2 linked regions of the Elephas maximus indicus genome follow. The protein of the gene in region 2 interacts with the protein of the main gene of each other region in a biochemical or structural test. Links are inferred from orthologs where the notes say so. Each region holds a gene or a part of one and is shown on either strand. Other genes may lie near its edges.

Evidence for each region. The genes of interacting proteins can lie anywhere in the genome.
Region 1: the proteins of DCAF11 (region 2) and SLBP form a complex in vitro, tested with the Homo sapiens proteins (2 studies listed by BioGRID, with this or other methods). The link is inferred for Elephas maximus indicus from reciprocal best matches to the Homo sapiens genes DCAF11 and SLBP.

What each region holds. Positions count from the first base shown.
Region 1 is NC_064823.1:160,014,630-160,022,365, forward strand, and holds the start of SLBP (histone RNA hairpin-binding protein), read right to left. Parts: upstream 3,058-7,736; 5' UTR 2,927-3,057; coding exon 2,883-2,926; intron 2,722-2,882; coding exon 2,587-2,721; intron 1-2,586. UniProt on the Homo sapiens protein: RNA-binding protein involved in the histone pre-mRNA processing.
Region 2 is NC_064828.1:35,475,908-35,483,460, reverse strand, and holds the start of DCAF11 (DDB1- and CUL4-associated factor 11), read right to left. Parts: upstream 3,093-7,553; 5' UTR 2,949-3,092; exon of another isoform or gene 2,603-2,948; intron 2,372-2,602; exon of another isoform or gene 2,318-2,371; 5' UTR 2,293-2,317; coding exon 2,138-2,292; intron 885-2,137; coding exon 757-884; intron 493-756; coding exon 365-492; intron 89-364; coding exon 24-88; intron 1-23. UniProt on the Homo sapiens protein: May function as a substrate receptor for CUL4-DDB1 E3 ubiquitin-protein ligase complex.

The DNA.
Region 1 (7,736 bases), on a different chromosome or scaffold from region 2:
GTACAGTGCTGACATGCAGAACGTACTACACTGCAATGAGAGCACAGGAGATAAGTACAGATGCCGGAGCCTTTGACACATTAGGACTTAGTCGACTGTTACAGTACTGCCTGTTGTTTGTTGTTGGTAGGTGCCATCCAGTCAATTTCAACTCACAGCAACCCTACAGAGCAGAGAAGACCTGTCCCACAGGGTTTCCCAGGCTGTAATCTTCACGGCAGACTGCCAGGTCTTTTTTTCTGTGGAGCCAGCAGGTAGGCTGGAACAACTGACCTTTCAGTTAGCAGCCGAGTGCTCAGCCACTGCGCCACCAGGGCTTCTTAAAGGTACCACCTAGGGTTGGGTTAAGGAGTCCCAATGGCAGTGGTTAAGCACTCAGTTGCTAATTGAAAGGTCAGCAGTTGGAACCCACCAGTCACTCCACAGGAAAAAGATGTGGCAGTCTCCTTCTATAAAGATCATAGCCCTGGAAATCCTCTGGGGCAGTTCTGTCCTATAGAGTTGCTATGAGTCAGAATCAACTCAATGGCAATGGGTTCGGTTTGGTTTTAGAGTAGGGTTAAACCTAATCCAGGACCCAGTTCTACCTTGTGCTCAAAGAAATCTTTAGTCAAGATCAGGCAATGTGAAAACTTAAATGCTTCAATGCCAAGAAATCCGGCATGGTTGTTTATAAACTTAATTTATAGTTAGATTTGTACTTTTCTGTCCCATTTCCCCTGGCCACCACTGGTGTAAAACTAGACACTGCTTCTATGTAATCGTTACTTCTTCCCTTATAATCACACCCCCAGAGAAACTCAAACTGGATCCCCAAAAGTCAGTTTCCAGATCAAAAAAAGGGTTTGAAAGATCTGAAACCAAAATGAACTTATTAACAAAGTTGCAGTAACTCAATAATTAGACAGGAAGTAAGAGCCTGGAACCAAATGAAGGCTTGTCCTGGGCTGGACATAAACATCCCACTCAGTCCACCAACAGGTTCAATCTGGGGCTCCCAAGTGAGGTTCCTGAACTGGAACGTTTCAACACAGGAACTTACTAACTGCTCAGAACATCCTTTGGGAGTATGACAGACAGCGCTATTCACAGCTCACTGATCTGCTTTATCTGACAAGGCTACTTCTGGGGAGAGTACTCAACGGGTCAACCAAAGCCTATCTTACACGTGGAGCTCATCTCACTACAAACGGCTGCTCCACCTTGCCTCACCTGATCAGGGCTGCTGCTGCTTCCCAACTTGAGTCAGCAGCAGTACTCAGGGTCTTGCTGTACCACGAGACAGCTGTGTGCTAGCACCACCAGGGAACCCCCAGCACGCCACTCGGCGAGGAGCAGTGGTTCTCTTCCACACCCACCACCACAGCAGGGCCTAGTCTGAGGGTCGCTACCCTCATTCCCACTTCCAGGTCATTCTTCCTCTTTTCAAGCTAATGCCATCTATCAGCCCACAACTCTTCTGGTTGCAGCATGTTACCTCCTGGTTATCCCCCTTCAGGGATCAAGGTGTCACACTTGACTGGCAACACTCCCCCCTCATCATTTCATCCACCAGCACTTCCTGGGCCAGGAGCTGGGAAGACTGAAGGGAGCACAGCCTGCCCTCAGGAGCGTGAACTTCAGTGAGCGGGGCGCTAAAGGAATGAGCTGCTGTAAAACCTCGGCGGTGATTAACAAAGAGCAGTGGGGAACTGTGGGATGGGCTCACTGCCAGAGCGATGCAAAGGTGGGAGTCACTCAGCACCAAAAACAACCACCCGAACCCACTGCCGTTCAGTCGATTCTGACTCGTGGCAACCCCACACATTAAAAGACTAGAACTGAGCTCCAGTGTTTTCTCAGCTGTGATCTTTATGTAAGCAGATTGCCGATCCTTCCTTCTGCGGTGCCACTGGGTGGATTCAAGCCACCGATCTCTATGTCAGTTGCCAAGTGCAAGCTGTTTGTGTCACCAGGGACTTTACCTAGAACCCCAAAGAGCTCAATAACTGACTTAGAGTGAGCCAAGCTTTGTTTACATTTGTCACCGAGAAATGCCTCAAACAGCCTAATACTCCAAAGTCACGTTGTGTTTTAAGTGCCTTAACTAGTCAAGAAGGCAGCCAGCAAACTCCACCTCCCTCTGTGGGTCATTCCATTCACACAAGACCTCCTCAGGCAGAAAGTCACCCACAAACTGCATCTACGAGGTGTTATCTTTCCATCTTTTAACAAGCGGAGCAGAAGCAAAGGCGTCTATGTGCCTGAGACACCACTTCCAAAGACCACAAGCCCCTTCCGTAGTCCCACCAAAGTCCATCTAGCGCCGCCTCCACCAAGGAGAAAATCCCACTGGATCCGTGGGTGGCTCCAACGGTTTGCGTCCGACGACCAGCCCACCCCACGGTGCAGTGGAAAAAAAGCCTGGTGATTTATCTCTCCAGGGAGGCCAGGCAGGAAAACCCCACGGAGCGGGGCCACGGGCACGAGCGGGGCCACGGGCACCCCCGGGGCCGCCGGGAGTCGGAACTCACTCCGCGGCCGCCCGTCTGAAAGAAGCCCCCCGAGAGAACCCCGGGGCCCGAGGGCGTCCCGGCGGGCCCGCACCTGTCCAGTCTGTGGTCCGCGCGCCTGCGCTCGTGGGCGTCGGGGGACGCGGAGGGGTCGCAGTCCTCGGGCTTCCTGCGCTTCCCGTCGGCTCTGCGCTTCCGCCCCAAGGACCATCTGGCTGCCGAGTGCGGGCTGCGCACAAAGAGACCGCAGTCGGTCAGCGGCCGGCGCGGGCCTCTCCCGGCCTCCCCCACCCCGGGCCCGGCCGCCCGAGGGCGCCCGCCCGCCCGCCCGCCCGCCCGCTTCCGGCCCGGCCCGCCCCGGGGACTCGCAGGCGTTCCGCCCGGCCTCACCTGGCGTCGCCGTACCGGGGAGGGCTTCGCGGCCGGCAGGCCATGGCGAGCGCAGCGGCGGAGGGCCGCGGAGGGCGGGGAGGCGCGCGGGGCCGCGGGGCCGCGACGCAGGAACGCGAGCTGTGGCGGCGAAGGCGGCGAAGCAGCGGCCGGAGAGCGACACCCGTTCCCGCGCCGGCGCTGACAGACTGAGCGCGCGCCCCGCCCCCAACCGCCTTTATGCGGCCCCGGCCCCGCCCCTCGGAGCTCCCGCGCGCGCCGGGCGGGGCGCAACCATCGGGTCCACGGCGACGGGGGGAGCCCAGGTCAGCGGCGCGCGCCTCGGAGGCTGCCTAGGCTTGGGCTGAGTGTCCAGGACCCCGGACGACCAAAACCATTAACTCCGGTCGCCGCCGTCTGAGGAGGCGGGTCGACGCCCTCGTCTGCATGAGATCCGAGGGAAAAGTTGCTCCCCTCGAGTATTGAGGCAGCCGGGCCGCCGCTGGCCCCTCGGAAGCTGATTGGCTGCGCCTTCGCGGGAGGAGGGGGGTATTGGCGGGAGATTCAGACGCGCGCGGCGCAGGGGTCAGAGGGAGCGTCTTCGATTGGTCTCGGCCCGGTGGGGCGCGCCTCCGATAGGTCGCGCTTGCTCGAGGCTAGTCTCCCATTGGCCTGTCCCAGGTGGGGGCGAGCCTTCTCGCTGGCGGGAAACCTGGAACCCGGAAGGCGCGTCTGGGGCGTTTGGTCCTCCCGGCCCCGCGGCGTGATAACCCGGGGAGCTGCTGGGGCTGTAGCCGCCGTCGGGCCCCAAGGCGCGTGGTTCCCGCCCGTTTGGACGGGGGTCTCCCAGACTGCGAATTCCTTCCGGGTGAGGCAAGAGGGGCTGGGATGTGCCCGAGACCTGCACCTGCCTTCGCCCCGGCAGCAGCCGCCCTGGGCCGTCGGGTCGGAAGGGATCAGGCCAGGCCTCTCCGAGGGGGAGGGTGCAGCCGAGCCCCGAGGGAAGCGGAGACCCTGAGCGAGGAGGGCCCCAGGGATGGTCGGGTGCACGGAGGAGGATGTGGGGTGTGAGAATGAAGCTGGGGCGCGGGACTCCCGCCGCGCCAAACCCCCCCCCGCCCCACGGCCTCTCTAGGCAAGGGAGCCTCCGACCTCCCGCCCAGTACTGTGGGGCCTCCTTCCCCCTGCGAACCCCTGCAAGAGATGCCTGCTTCGCCCACGTGCTTCCACAGACTTACCCCAGAACCTTGCCCAAGCTTTAGTGCAGACGTCGGCCAGTGCTAGGCCCTGCTCCTGGGCAGCCCCCTGGCCGCGTGCTGTGCTAGATGGTGTGAACTGTCACAACTACCCAGCTCAGCCTGAACCACTGCCAGACCCCCTCGCTGTAATTTTCCATGCACCTTCCCTCTTCTCCCAGTAGTTTCTCAGGTTCTCTTCCCTCTCGTGCCCCTTAAAAGCTCTAGCTGCCTTCGTACTAATCAGAGCTGAGACTAGCTGCTGGTTTCTGTCCCCTGCTGCAGCCTGAGTAAAGTCTATCCTGCCATTTTAACTACTGTCCGCTGCTTTTCTTTGGCCCTTTACTGGGCTGTGACCTGGGTCTGGATTGGAACCACCACCGATCCAGTGCCCTGAACACTAGTCCTTTGTAGCACAGTAAAGGTAGACTTAAGGAGCCCTGGTGGCACAGTGGTTAAGCGCTTGGCCGCTAACCTAAAGGTGTCGGGTTCAAACCCACCAGCTGCTCTGAGGGAAACAGATGTGGCAGTCTGCTCCCATAAAGGTTAGAAAAAAAAAAAAAAGGGCAAACTAAACCCACTCCCATCGAGTCAATTCTGACTCATGGTGAGTGACCCTATGGGACAAGGTAGAACTGCCCCACAGGGTTTTGAAGGCTGTAATCTTTTTGAAAACAGAGTGCCATATCTTTGTCCCACAGAATGGCTGTTGGTTTTGAACCACTGATCTTTTGGTTAGCAGCCAAATGCTTAACAATTGTACCACTAGGGCTCTATGTCTCCAAAAGCCTGTTGCCATTGAGTCAACTCAGCGACCCTATAGGACAGAGAACCGCCCTGTAGGGTTTCCAAGGCTGTAAATCTTTACAGAAGCAGACTGCCACATCTTTCTCCCACAGAGCAGCTGGTAAGTTCGAACCATCAACCTTTAGGTTAACAGCCGAGTTCTTAACCACTAGGCCACCAAATCTCCTGTGTCTATACACCGTTGCTGGCGAGTCTGACTCAGCAACCCTATAGGACAGAGTAGAACTGCCCCATAGGGTTTCCAAGGAGCACCTGGTGGATTTGAACTGCTGACCTTTTGGTTAGCAGCCTAACTTTTAACATACTGCTATCTATATCACTCAGAAGTGGTTCGGCTTAGGACACACCCTGATATGGTCTGATTAATATAGAAAAGAAAACCCTATTCTCAAATGGGATTACATCTACTGTTACAGAGGTAAGGACTTCAGCACATATTTTGGGGGGACACAATTCAGTCAATACCGGAGGCTATTCTTATTAAAATTGATTCGTTGTGTGCTCAAAATTGCAGACAGCAAAAAGATGAAACTGGTAAATTGTCACCACCAATTAGAAGTTACTCAGGGCTTGAACTAAATACCCAGACAGCCTCTGCTCTGGCCACAAGCTTTGTCAACAGCCTTAAACCAGAGCTTCATGACACATTACCCAAAAATAACTGGCAAAATGCAGAGATAACTGAACTTCAAACTCTAGCCCAACATTATGAGAGAGTATCTCCAAGAAAACAGAAAACACACAACACAAACTCATGGGCTTACAATTAAAAAAGCCTGAAAATTATGACGAGACAAGCTCCTAAGAGGCGGACTCCTATTGATTGGGATACTTATTGCTATTGCAAAGAAAAAGGCCACTGAGCTCAAGACTGTGCAGCCATTAAAGAGGAAAGACTCAAAACTCTCAAGAGGGCTATCAACTCCCCTCAAGGGAAGTAATTATCGAATGCCCTCCGTTACCACTCAACTCCCAAGGAGAAATTACAAGTTGAAGGGCATCCCACCACATTTCTCATTGACACAGGGGCAACTCATCCCAACCAATACCACTTGCTTCCCTCCCTGCTTCCTCTGAGCCATCAACCTTATTTCTGGGAGCTTTGATCATTTACCCCATGATTTACCCTGTCCAAGCCATTTCGATATTTCCATGGGTTTTCTGAAGGCCCGACATAACTTCCTTCTCAACTGTGTGGTGAAATGGGTCTCTTTACGTGGCCTTTTGCCTTGGTTCTTTGGAAAAACAACTCCAGAGACTTTTCCCCTAAACCCTGAGGAGTTACCTTTGCCCTAGTTTTCTACCCCAGAGGGTTTATTACTTTTGTGCAGGTTGACTGACATTTCCTGAGTAATCCTAAACAACTTGACTTTTTTTCGAGCCCTGGGCTGCAGCCTGCCCTGTGATTGGTATGCACTTTGCAGAGATTGGTTAATATACCTACACAAATTAAGTGACTATGAAGTATGCAAATTGGGTAACTATAGCCTACTATGCAAATGAAGTGTCTGGGGCCTATTGAGAGAATTGGTCGGTTTGCCCTCCCCCCACTGGGAGGGGCCATGGGTTGAAATTGACAAGGGGTTGTGTGTGTGTGTGTAGAAAAAAAGAGAGCCAGCCCCTCAGAGATTTTTCAGACAGAAAGCATCATAAAGACAAGAGACAGAAGCAGAAAGGACTGAAGCCACTCCCGAAGTTCACGTTTCAGAAAAAGATTAGACAGACCTATAAAACAAACGATAACACATGAGGAATGTGCGTCTTAGATCAATCAATAGTATGAGACCAAATGGGCAACAGTTGCCCAAAAGCAAAGCTGAGAAGGCAGGAGGGGACAGGAAAACTGGATGAATGGAAATGGGGAATCCGGGTTGGGACAGGGGAGTGTGCTGACATGTGAGGATTCCAAGAAATGTCACAAAACAATTTGTGTATAAATTTTTGAATGAGAAATTAATTTGATCTGTAAACTTTCACCTAAAGCACAATAAAGTAGTAGCAGACAGGAGAAAAGGCAAGAGAGAAGCAGAAAGGAGGCAAGAGACCTAAAAGAGCTGTAACCAGAGCTTCAAACCGGCTCTTTCCTGTTCGAACCCCTGCTGAGAATTTGCATTCCGCCCCAGATATGCTGAATTAGGATCTACGTTTTAACAAGATCCCTGGTGATTCATATGTGTAATAAATTTTGAGAACCACTGCTCTACTAGTGGTTCTGAGAATTGGTCCCAAACCAACAGCATTGGCATCACCTGGAAACTAGTTAGAAATGCAGATCCTCACCAGGGGTTCAATCCAAACAAACCGGTTCGGAGCCCTGGCTGTAACATGGCTGTAACACTGAAGACAGCGACTGGCCCGGAAGGGACCCAGCAGCAGAGTCAGTGGTGACAGATGGCAGGGCCGAGAGGAGCCCTTCAGGGCTGAGGGGCTGAGAGCTGTCCTGCACTGAAGAAGGGAGACTGCCTAGTTTCCTGGTCCTGATCCTGAGTTGCAGCCTGTTGAGCCTGATCCCAAGACGTACCCTGTTCCTTAACAAACCACTTAACTGTAAATATAGTTGTGAGTCCTGTGAACATTGCTGCGAATTGCCAAATCCAAATGGGGTGGGGGCGGGAAGAGTGCTGAGGGGAGGGACAGAGGCCAGTGTGAGAGGAGTGGCACAGTGGCTTGGAGAATGTGGAAATCTGGGATATACTTGGCCTCCGCCTCACAGGAATTGGCTTCGTGCTGATTCTTGTATTTGAAATTATTCATACACCTGTTGTTGCCGTCGAATTGGCTCTCGTTCACAGCACTTCCACGTCCAACAGAATGAAACACTGTCAGGTCCTGC
Region 2 (7,553 bases):
TCTCCACCAAGCCCCATACTCACTGAGACATCACTCGAGACTGTTCTCCAAGGGAGAAGCTTCCCCGGTGGCAGAGGCCCCGTTCTCTCTAAATGGAAGGGATTGGGGAATACTGCTAGCAGAAACAGAGGACCCCTTCAGCCATACCAAGTTCCCTCCTCCAAAGATACTGCTCTTGCTACAGACATAGATTCCACACACAGAAGTCTGCCCCACAAAACTCTGATGCAGCTGGCCAAGAATTCCCCAGCTCAAGTATTTGAGTCTTTCTTGGAAAGTTTACTTCCCTCCTCTCTGTGGCTAGCAGAGCTTCTGGCTATCTCAGCAGGCCTCTTGCAGTCAGGCTAGAGGTGGAAAGGCCTACCTGGTGCAGCATTCGAGGAAAGCTGTACTTCTGGGCTGCCTGCCTGAGACCCAGACGACCTGTGGCCAATTCCACTTGTGTCTTGATCTCATTGCGTTCCAGCTCTCGGGTGTCAGGGGTTGCGTCCACTGTGAGTACCAAGGAGAAGTTTCATCCTAGGTCTCCTAGCCCCAGAGGACACTTACCATAACCATACCCAAAATGTAAGAAGATGGGGCTCACTCAAAGTGGCTGGCTGAATATACTGGAGCTGTAAGGACTCCCTCATTCCCTGAATTATCTCATTTTTTTCTTCTTTCATCTTAACCCATGGTTCTTCACCAAAACAACAACAAAAACTGTTTTCTAATTAGTCTTCCAACTTTAGGGTCTTGGTCTGCTTTCCTTCTTACCAGGTGGGTTGTATCGGTCCCCCAGGCGACCATCCCAGGCACTGTCATGCTCTTCCTCTGAGTCAGAGAGGGCCTGGATGAGTTGCAAATTTGCTGCACCTCCGCCCTGCACCAACCTCACTTGGCCTCTGTTGAGAGAACCCCCATGATAAAGGGGGGAACCCCTTCCCCCAAACCAACCAAATTCAGGGTCAGTGGCTATCCAGTTCTTAGACCACCTGATACTCAAGCCCTCATACTGTCCCCATTTTGAGAGTTTGAGGCTAACTAGACTGTTATTTTCAGTCTTCTATAGGACACAGGGAAACCCTGGTGGCATAGTGGTCAAGGGCTATGGCTGCTAACCAAAAGGTGGGCAGTTTGAATCCACCAGGCGCTCCTTGGAAACTATAGGGCAGTTCTACTCCTTCCTGTAGGGTCTCTATGAGTTGGAATTGACTTGATGGCAATGGGTTTGGTTTTTTTTTTTTAATAGGACACAGGGAGCCCTGGTAGCACAGTGGTAAACAGCTCAGCTGCTAATCAAAAGGATGGCAGTTCAAATCCACCAGCTGCTCCTTGGGAACTCTATGGAGTAGTTCTTCTCTGTCCTATAGGATTACTATGAGTCAGAATCGACTTGAGGGCAACAGGTTTGGTCTTTTGGTTCATACAGGACACAGTAGGAAACAGATTCTCACTCTTGGAGCAGGAAGAGAGAACCACTTCATGCCCTGGAGGTTGACGGATCTAACTAAGCTGACTTCCCAAAGAGCTAAGAATTCTGAGAGCATTTCCTTCTGAGCCTCTGCCTGAGAAATTCAGTATAGAACTCAGCAGTCTGAAGGGATCCCCAAGTTCATCTTATCCCCAGAAGCCAAAAGCACCCCTTTCCTGTCAATTCTTTGTGATCACTCTCTTCAAGTCATTCTTTCTCAAGAACAGGATTAGCGGTAGGTCAATTTAAACCTGTTTTTTCAAGTACACCCACATGGCCTCCTATCACATAACAATGGCTTTGCTAAAGTTCAACTCCCCCCTTCCCAACTCTTGTCCTCACCCCCCACTTCACTCCTTTCCCACCAGGGCCCTTTTTTTTTTTTTTCTACTTACTTAGAAAACAGATTAAATTTGTGTAGTCATAGCCAGAAAGGCTGCCCTGACCAGCCCCCTCAAACACAAGAGTGGGTCCTCTCGGTGGCCCTCCCTAGGCAAGGTAACCACTCTTACTGGGTATGGAGCTGAGTGCCACGGGTGCCTAGCAGGGAAAGGCTGTTCTGCTCACACAGAACAGCTGCCCTGGGCCAACCCTGTTCCCTCTCCTCTGTAACTTTCCTGCCTGAGAGGTGGGATCAAGGAACTGTGGTGGTGCCTGTTGGGGACACACTAGAAAGTAAGTTACCTGCGGAGGAGATAGGCCAGTACCTGGGCCAGATCCACATCTTCATCCTCCTCTTCCTCTTCCTCACTCAGTCGAAGGCCAGCCCCTCTTCGGGGCAAGCCCTCAGAGGGGTCTCCGGACCCGGATCCTGCACTGCTGCTGTTCCGTGATCCCATCTTCTGCTCACAGCATCCTTAGGACCTGTGCAGGGGCTCTTCCTGTCAACTCCTTGGGTTTAGTGAAGCAAAGCTTGCTCTAGAAATATCAGGATCTCCTGAGATCGGGCGGTAACTATTTCTAGGAGAATGACCCTTCCTAGGAACTCAGATCCCTTCTCTTTAGCAAGTGACAACTCCCAAGCCTTCAGGAACACAAATCTTTCCCAATCTTGTGAAGCAAAGAATGCAGAGTAAAGGCTAAGGCGCTACCCTAACTCACCAATGAAAATAATTTGAAGAATTTCTCAGTTTTCTACCCCAAACTCACCTATCAAAGTCCCTGGGGGAAGTGAAGTCTCAGGTAACCACTCCGGCTGTCCAATAAAAACCCCTCGCGGAAGAAAGTGCCGCACTAGCTTATCTCATCTAGCCAATCAGAAGCTTTAGGACTCAGAGACCTCCGACGCCCCCCATACCGACCAATCAGAGCGGTCTCTTGCGAAAGAAGGCAGCAGTGACAGCCAATGAGGTTAGAATTCGGCCGACCGCCCACCTTCCTCTGCCTCACGCCCACGTGGGGTGCCGGGGGTGCGTACATCAAAGAGGAGGCAGGAGGACGCCGGGAAGCACCAGCCGCTGGAGCCAGAGGTTACGGTCCGCGCTAGACCACCCACCAGCCAGGAACGGTCGCAGGACGCAGCTGCCCGAGGCCTTGTTTACACCGACTGCCGCTATATCATCGCCAACCGCTCCTCCGTCACGCGCCTCTTCGTCACGCAACGCCCGGCTTCCCGGCCGGCGGAGCGCCTACGTCATGCGACGCTCCTAGTGGTCCCGCCCCCCCGGCCCGCTAACTGGCCAGTGCAGCATGGTGATTGGCAGGTGGGCGGGAGAAAGAGCTTGAGAGGGCTTAAAAAAAAAGCCGATGCAGTCGAGTCTATTCCGACTCATAGCGACCCTGTAGGACAGTAAAACTGTCCCATAGGGTTTCCAAGGAGCGACTGGTGGATTCGAACTGCCGACCTTTTGGTTAGCAGCTGAGCTCTTAACCATTGCGCCAGGGGGCTGAGGGGAGAAGAAAGCGCAGGATAGAGGAGGGGCGTTTACTCCTGTTGGGAGGAGGTAGTATGGGGGGAACCGGCTGCTTCCTGGATCGGGGACAACGGAACGGGACTTAATGGCATAGAGGCGGGGCTTACAAAAGAACCGGTTGGTGATTCGCTACCGAGACACCTTAGCAAGGGATACAACTTGCTGCCGGTTCCTGAAGTTCCTATCGCTTCGCACTTTTCAGGCAATCCCGAAACTTCCCCTGCTTGAGCCGTTCTTTTTTCGCTGGCTTCAGTCGGCTCTTTCCGAAGCACGAACTCCATATCCCAGCGCGTTTGGGGTGTCTTCACGTCACAGATGTGGACCCCAGGCCTCCACACTCTCCCTCCAGGGTTTAGCTTCCGGAAGCCTCGTTGTCGTGGGGATGGCCCTTTGTAGACGACCCCTAGCCGCTCCCTCATCTTTTTAGGTGATCCCTGGCCCCTCCCCGCGGTCTTTGCAGACTCCCCCTAAAGCACCTGTTGGCCTCTATGAGCCTTTCCGCTTCCCGTGGGTTCCTTTAGTTGCCCCTTAGGCACCTCACTGCACGGATTGCCTAGGTTGTGTGTCCTCGTGGGGCCTCCCGCCCCTGGACTCAGGTCCAGGATGTGCACGACCGCCGCCTCCCATCCTCTTATCCGGGTTTATGAGTAACTGAGCTGAGTCCAAGGCCGGGACTTGCCACGTCTCGGGATCCTTGCCCGGGCTCTGTTGGGGAAGGGAGGGACAGTGACCTCGTTGTGCCCAGCGCAAAGGTCTGGGTCGGTGCTGCACTCCCTGCACTCCCTTAGGCGTGCGCGAGCTTTCATCCGCCCAGAGCGCCCTTTGGTAGTGAGGGGAGTGAGGGCCCTTAGTTCCCTTGGGCCTGTCTTCTGGGGCTCGCCTACCCTAAGATGATGAGGGTGTTTTCTGTCCTTCGGGCGACACCTCCTGGTCCCTAGACCACTAGGCCAGCGCCGGCCGTATGGGCATGCGATCTGTGCAGTCCTACAGAGCTCTTTATTTAGAAGTGCCCCACGCTTGGTTTAATGCTTTGCAGTCGCTGTCTTGAAATTCTTAATATTAACTCTGAACAAACGCCTGCATTTTCATTTTGTGCTGGGGCGCACAAATTATGTAGCCAATTCTGCAGGGCACCCATCCCCTGTTGCCAGATTACTTACTGTCTGTGCCCTATAACCTTAGGATTCCATGGTTTCTGGATTTTCCAGCCTGGACAGTCTGGAATCATTTTCAGAAATAATCTTTCCTTCCTCTTTGCCCTTTAAATTCGGTTCTTTAACCTGTAGATTCTTCAGCTGATTAGTTGAAACTGTTTCACAGTTACCGCCCAAGGTCGAATTTCCATTACTTCATGCCTCTCTCCCTCCGTTGATCTGCAGGAAGTATCCTCTTAATGTAGTGTTTATTCCTTAACCTACAAGTGATTCACTGTTGTTTATTGTTTCAAATACAGATTTTCAACCCTGGTTGTCTGTTTTATACCAACTTCATTTTTTGTTACTTCTGTCGAGTATATATGTCCACAAACGCCTTGCTTGTTTCCACCTCAGCTCCTTCCCAGGAGAATTTCTTATCTGCGAGAACGCGGGTGTCTCCACCAGCCAGACTCCCTCACATCCTTGCACTTTGACCCAGTAGCACCACTTCCAGAATTTGAGCCCAGACCTGCATAAAGATTTATGTTCAGCATAACACCACACACCGGTTGTGTGGAGTCGATTCCAACTCATAGTGATCCTGTAAGACAGAGTAGAACTGCCCCAAAGTTGCCAAGGAGCGCCTGGTAGATTCAAACTGCTGACCTTTTGTTTAGCAGCCATAGCCCTTAAACACTAGCCACCAGGGTTTCCATGTTCAGTATAGCAATTATTAATAACAGTGAAATACTGGAAGCAAAATAGATCTAAATACTCTACAGCATGGTATTAGTTAAATAACCTGTGGTCTACATGGTATAGACAGTAAAATACCATGCCATCATTAAAAACATACTGTAGTCTTCTATTTTTATACCATGGGTTATTGTAAAAACTATGTTGTTAAGTTAAAAAAAAAAAAAGTGGTGGTGAGGACTTCTGGCAACGCCGCCTGGTAGATGCAAAAACAATGGTTTCAATTTTGCATAAAGTCTAAAAATATCCGGGTTCCTTTTATCATTAAACAAATAATAAAATGAAGAAGGCCTTACATTAACCAATGACAAAGGTGTATTGTGAACAAAGGATTAGGAATATAATTTGTGCACCTGAGGGTCAGAAAAAAAAATCTGTTAAACTCACCTCCTTAATAATGAATTGTTGATTGTTTTTCTACCGCTTCTTATTTACTAATCCGGCTTAAACCTGAATAAAATCTTGTTAATTCAAATTGTAACATGGAACTTGTATATTATTGAGTAAAATATTTTAAAGTCACAGTAAATTTTTTTTAAACAATGCTGGGGTTTTATGACCAAAATGAGTCCTCTTTAACATCAAATCAAATGTTAAATAACATAGGATTTCATCTTTGGATCCATTGACTAATTTTTGTATGTAAAAGATTTTTAAGCTTATGAACTCTTGGTTTTGTCACTGTGACCTGTAATTTTCCAAATGTAAAGGCCTTTATATGTGTTCTATCGAGAGAAATAAAGTGGCATTTCTTTAGAAAATTGTAATTACTTAATATGTAATTAAAAGATAATTTTTATAAGCTCTGTTCACCTTCCCTCTCATGGTTTTGAAACTTCTCTGTGGCTTTAAGTGTAGTTGGGGAGAGTAGAGGCTGCCCAAATGAAAAGCACTTTATACAAATTGTCACCAAGCAACATGGCAAGTTTCAAAAGGATCCAGAGATGAAATCCTATGTTATTTTAGAACCAGTTCTGCTAATTGCAGGATCCTTGGTGGCACCGTGGTTAAAGCACTTGGCTGCTAACCAAAAGGTCGCTGATTGAAATCCACCAGCGCTCCTGGGAGAAAGATGTGGCAGCCTGTTTCCATAAAGATTTACAGCCTTGGAAACCCTATGGGGCTGTTCTTCTCTGTCCTATAGGATGCCTGTGAGTCAGAATTGAATCAAAGGCAGTGGCTTTGGTTTTTAATTTTGTTTTTCAGGTAATTGCTAAGTAAATGTCAGCAGGCTGACTTCCTGTTCGACCTGCCTTGGGCTGTTTCCTGTTCATTAACATCTCCACTAGAGGGCGGGCTGGGCTGGAGAAGAGAGAAGAAAAACGAATTTCTCTTTGTCTGGCTAGTCCCTCTCGTGCCAGTCCCCAGCCTGGTGACTGCACAAGGCTTTTGGGACATGGGCAACATGAAGGGAAAGTTTTGCTTTCTGAGTTGACTGATGCCCATGCATGTGTCTACATGGTCTTCTTGTAGCATTCTCTGTGTAGGAGGAAGAGGGAAAGTACTAATTTATCTGGGAATTTAAAGTGTGTTGACTATAAGGCAATTGAGTAATTATGAGATATTCTAATACTCTCGTGTCCCGTGTTGCTAAGAACCAGAGCATTTTGTGTGGAGGACAGGAGTTACAGATGTAATAGAGAAGAGGCTAAAACCCTGTAACCTTGAGTTTGAATAGGGAGTATCAGCATGAACTAATACTTTTATTTATATGTTTTATTTTCCTATCTTTGTCCACTGAAAAGGTCTAGAAACAATGATCAATCCAGTAGCCATGAACACTTCTGGCACTGAGACTGTGGTCTTAAAATGCCATTTCCCACCAGAAGAAACCAGATTTTCTTGGAGAAATGTTTGATTCCAGGTCTGGGGCAGGAAATGTACAAGATTTTTTTTTTTTTATATACCAGATAGCAGGGAAGTCAGCAAAGAATATTATGGTCATGTCAAAAGGACTCAGGAGCCAAGTTCCCATGGCCAAAGATAGGACAATTTGAGCATAATAAGGATAATTTAATACACATTGAAAAACAAAACCAGTTGCCATTGAGTTGATTCTAACTTATGGCAACCCCATGTGTTTCAGAGTACTCCACAGGGTGTTCAATGACGGTGATCTTCCAGAAGTCGGTCAACAGTCCTTTCTTCCAAGGCACCTCTAGGTGGATTCGAACTACTAGCTTCTCGGTTAGTAGCCAAGCACTTAACCGTTTGCGCCACCCAGGGGCTCCTAATAAACATTAAATATGTTCAAATCCATGACTTTGTATATTTGTATAACTAAGTGGTCACTTT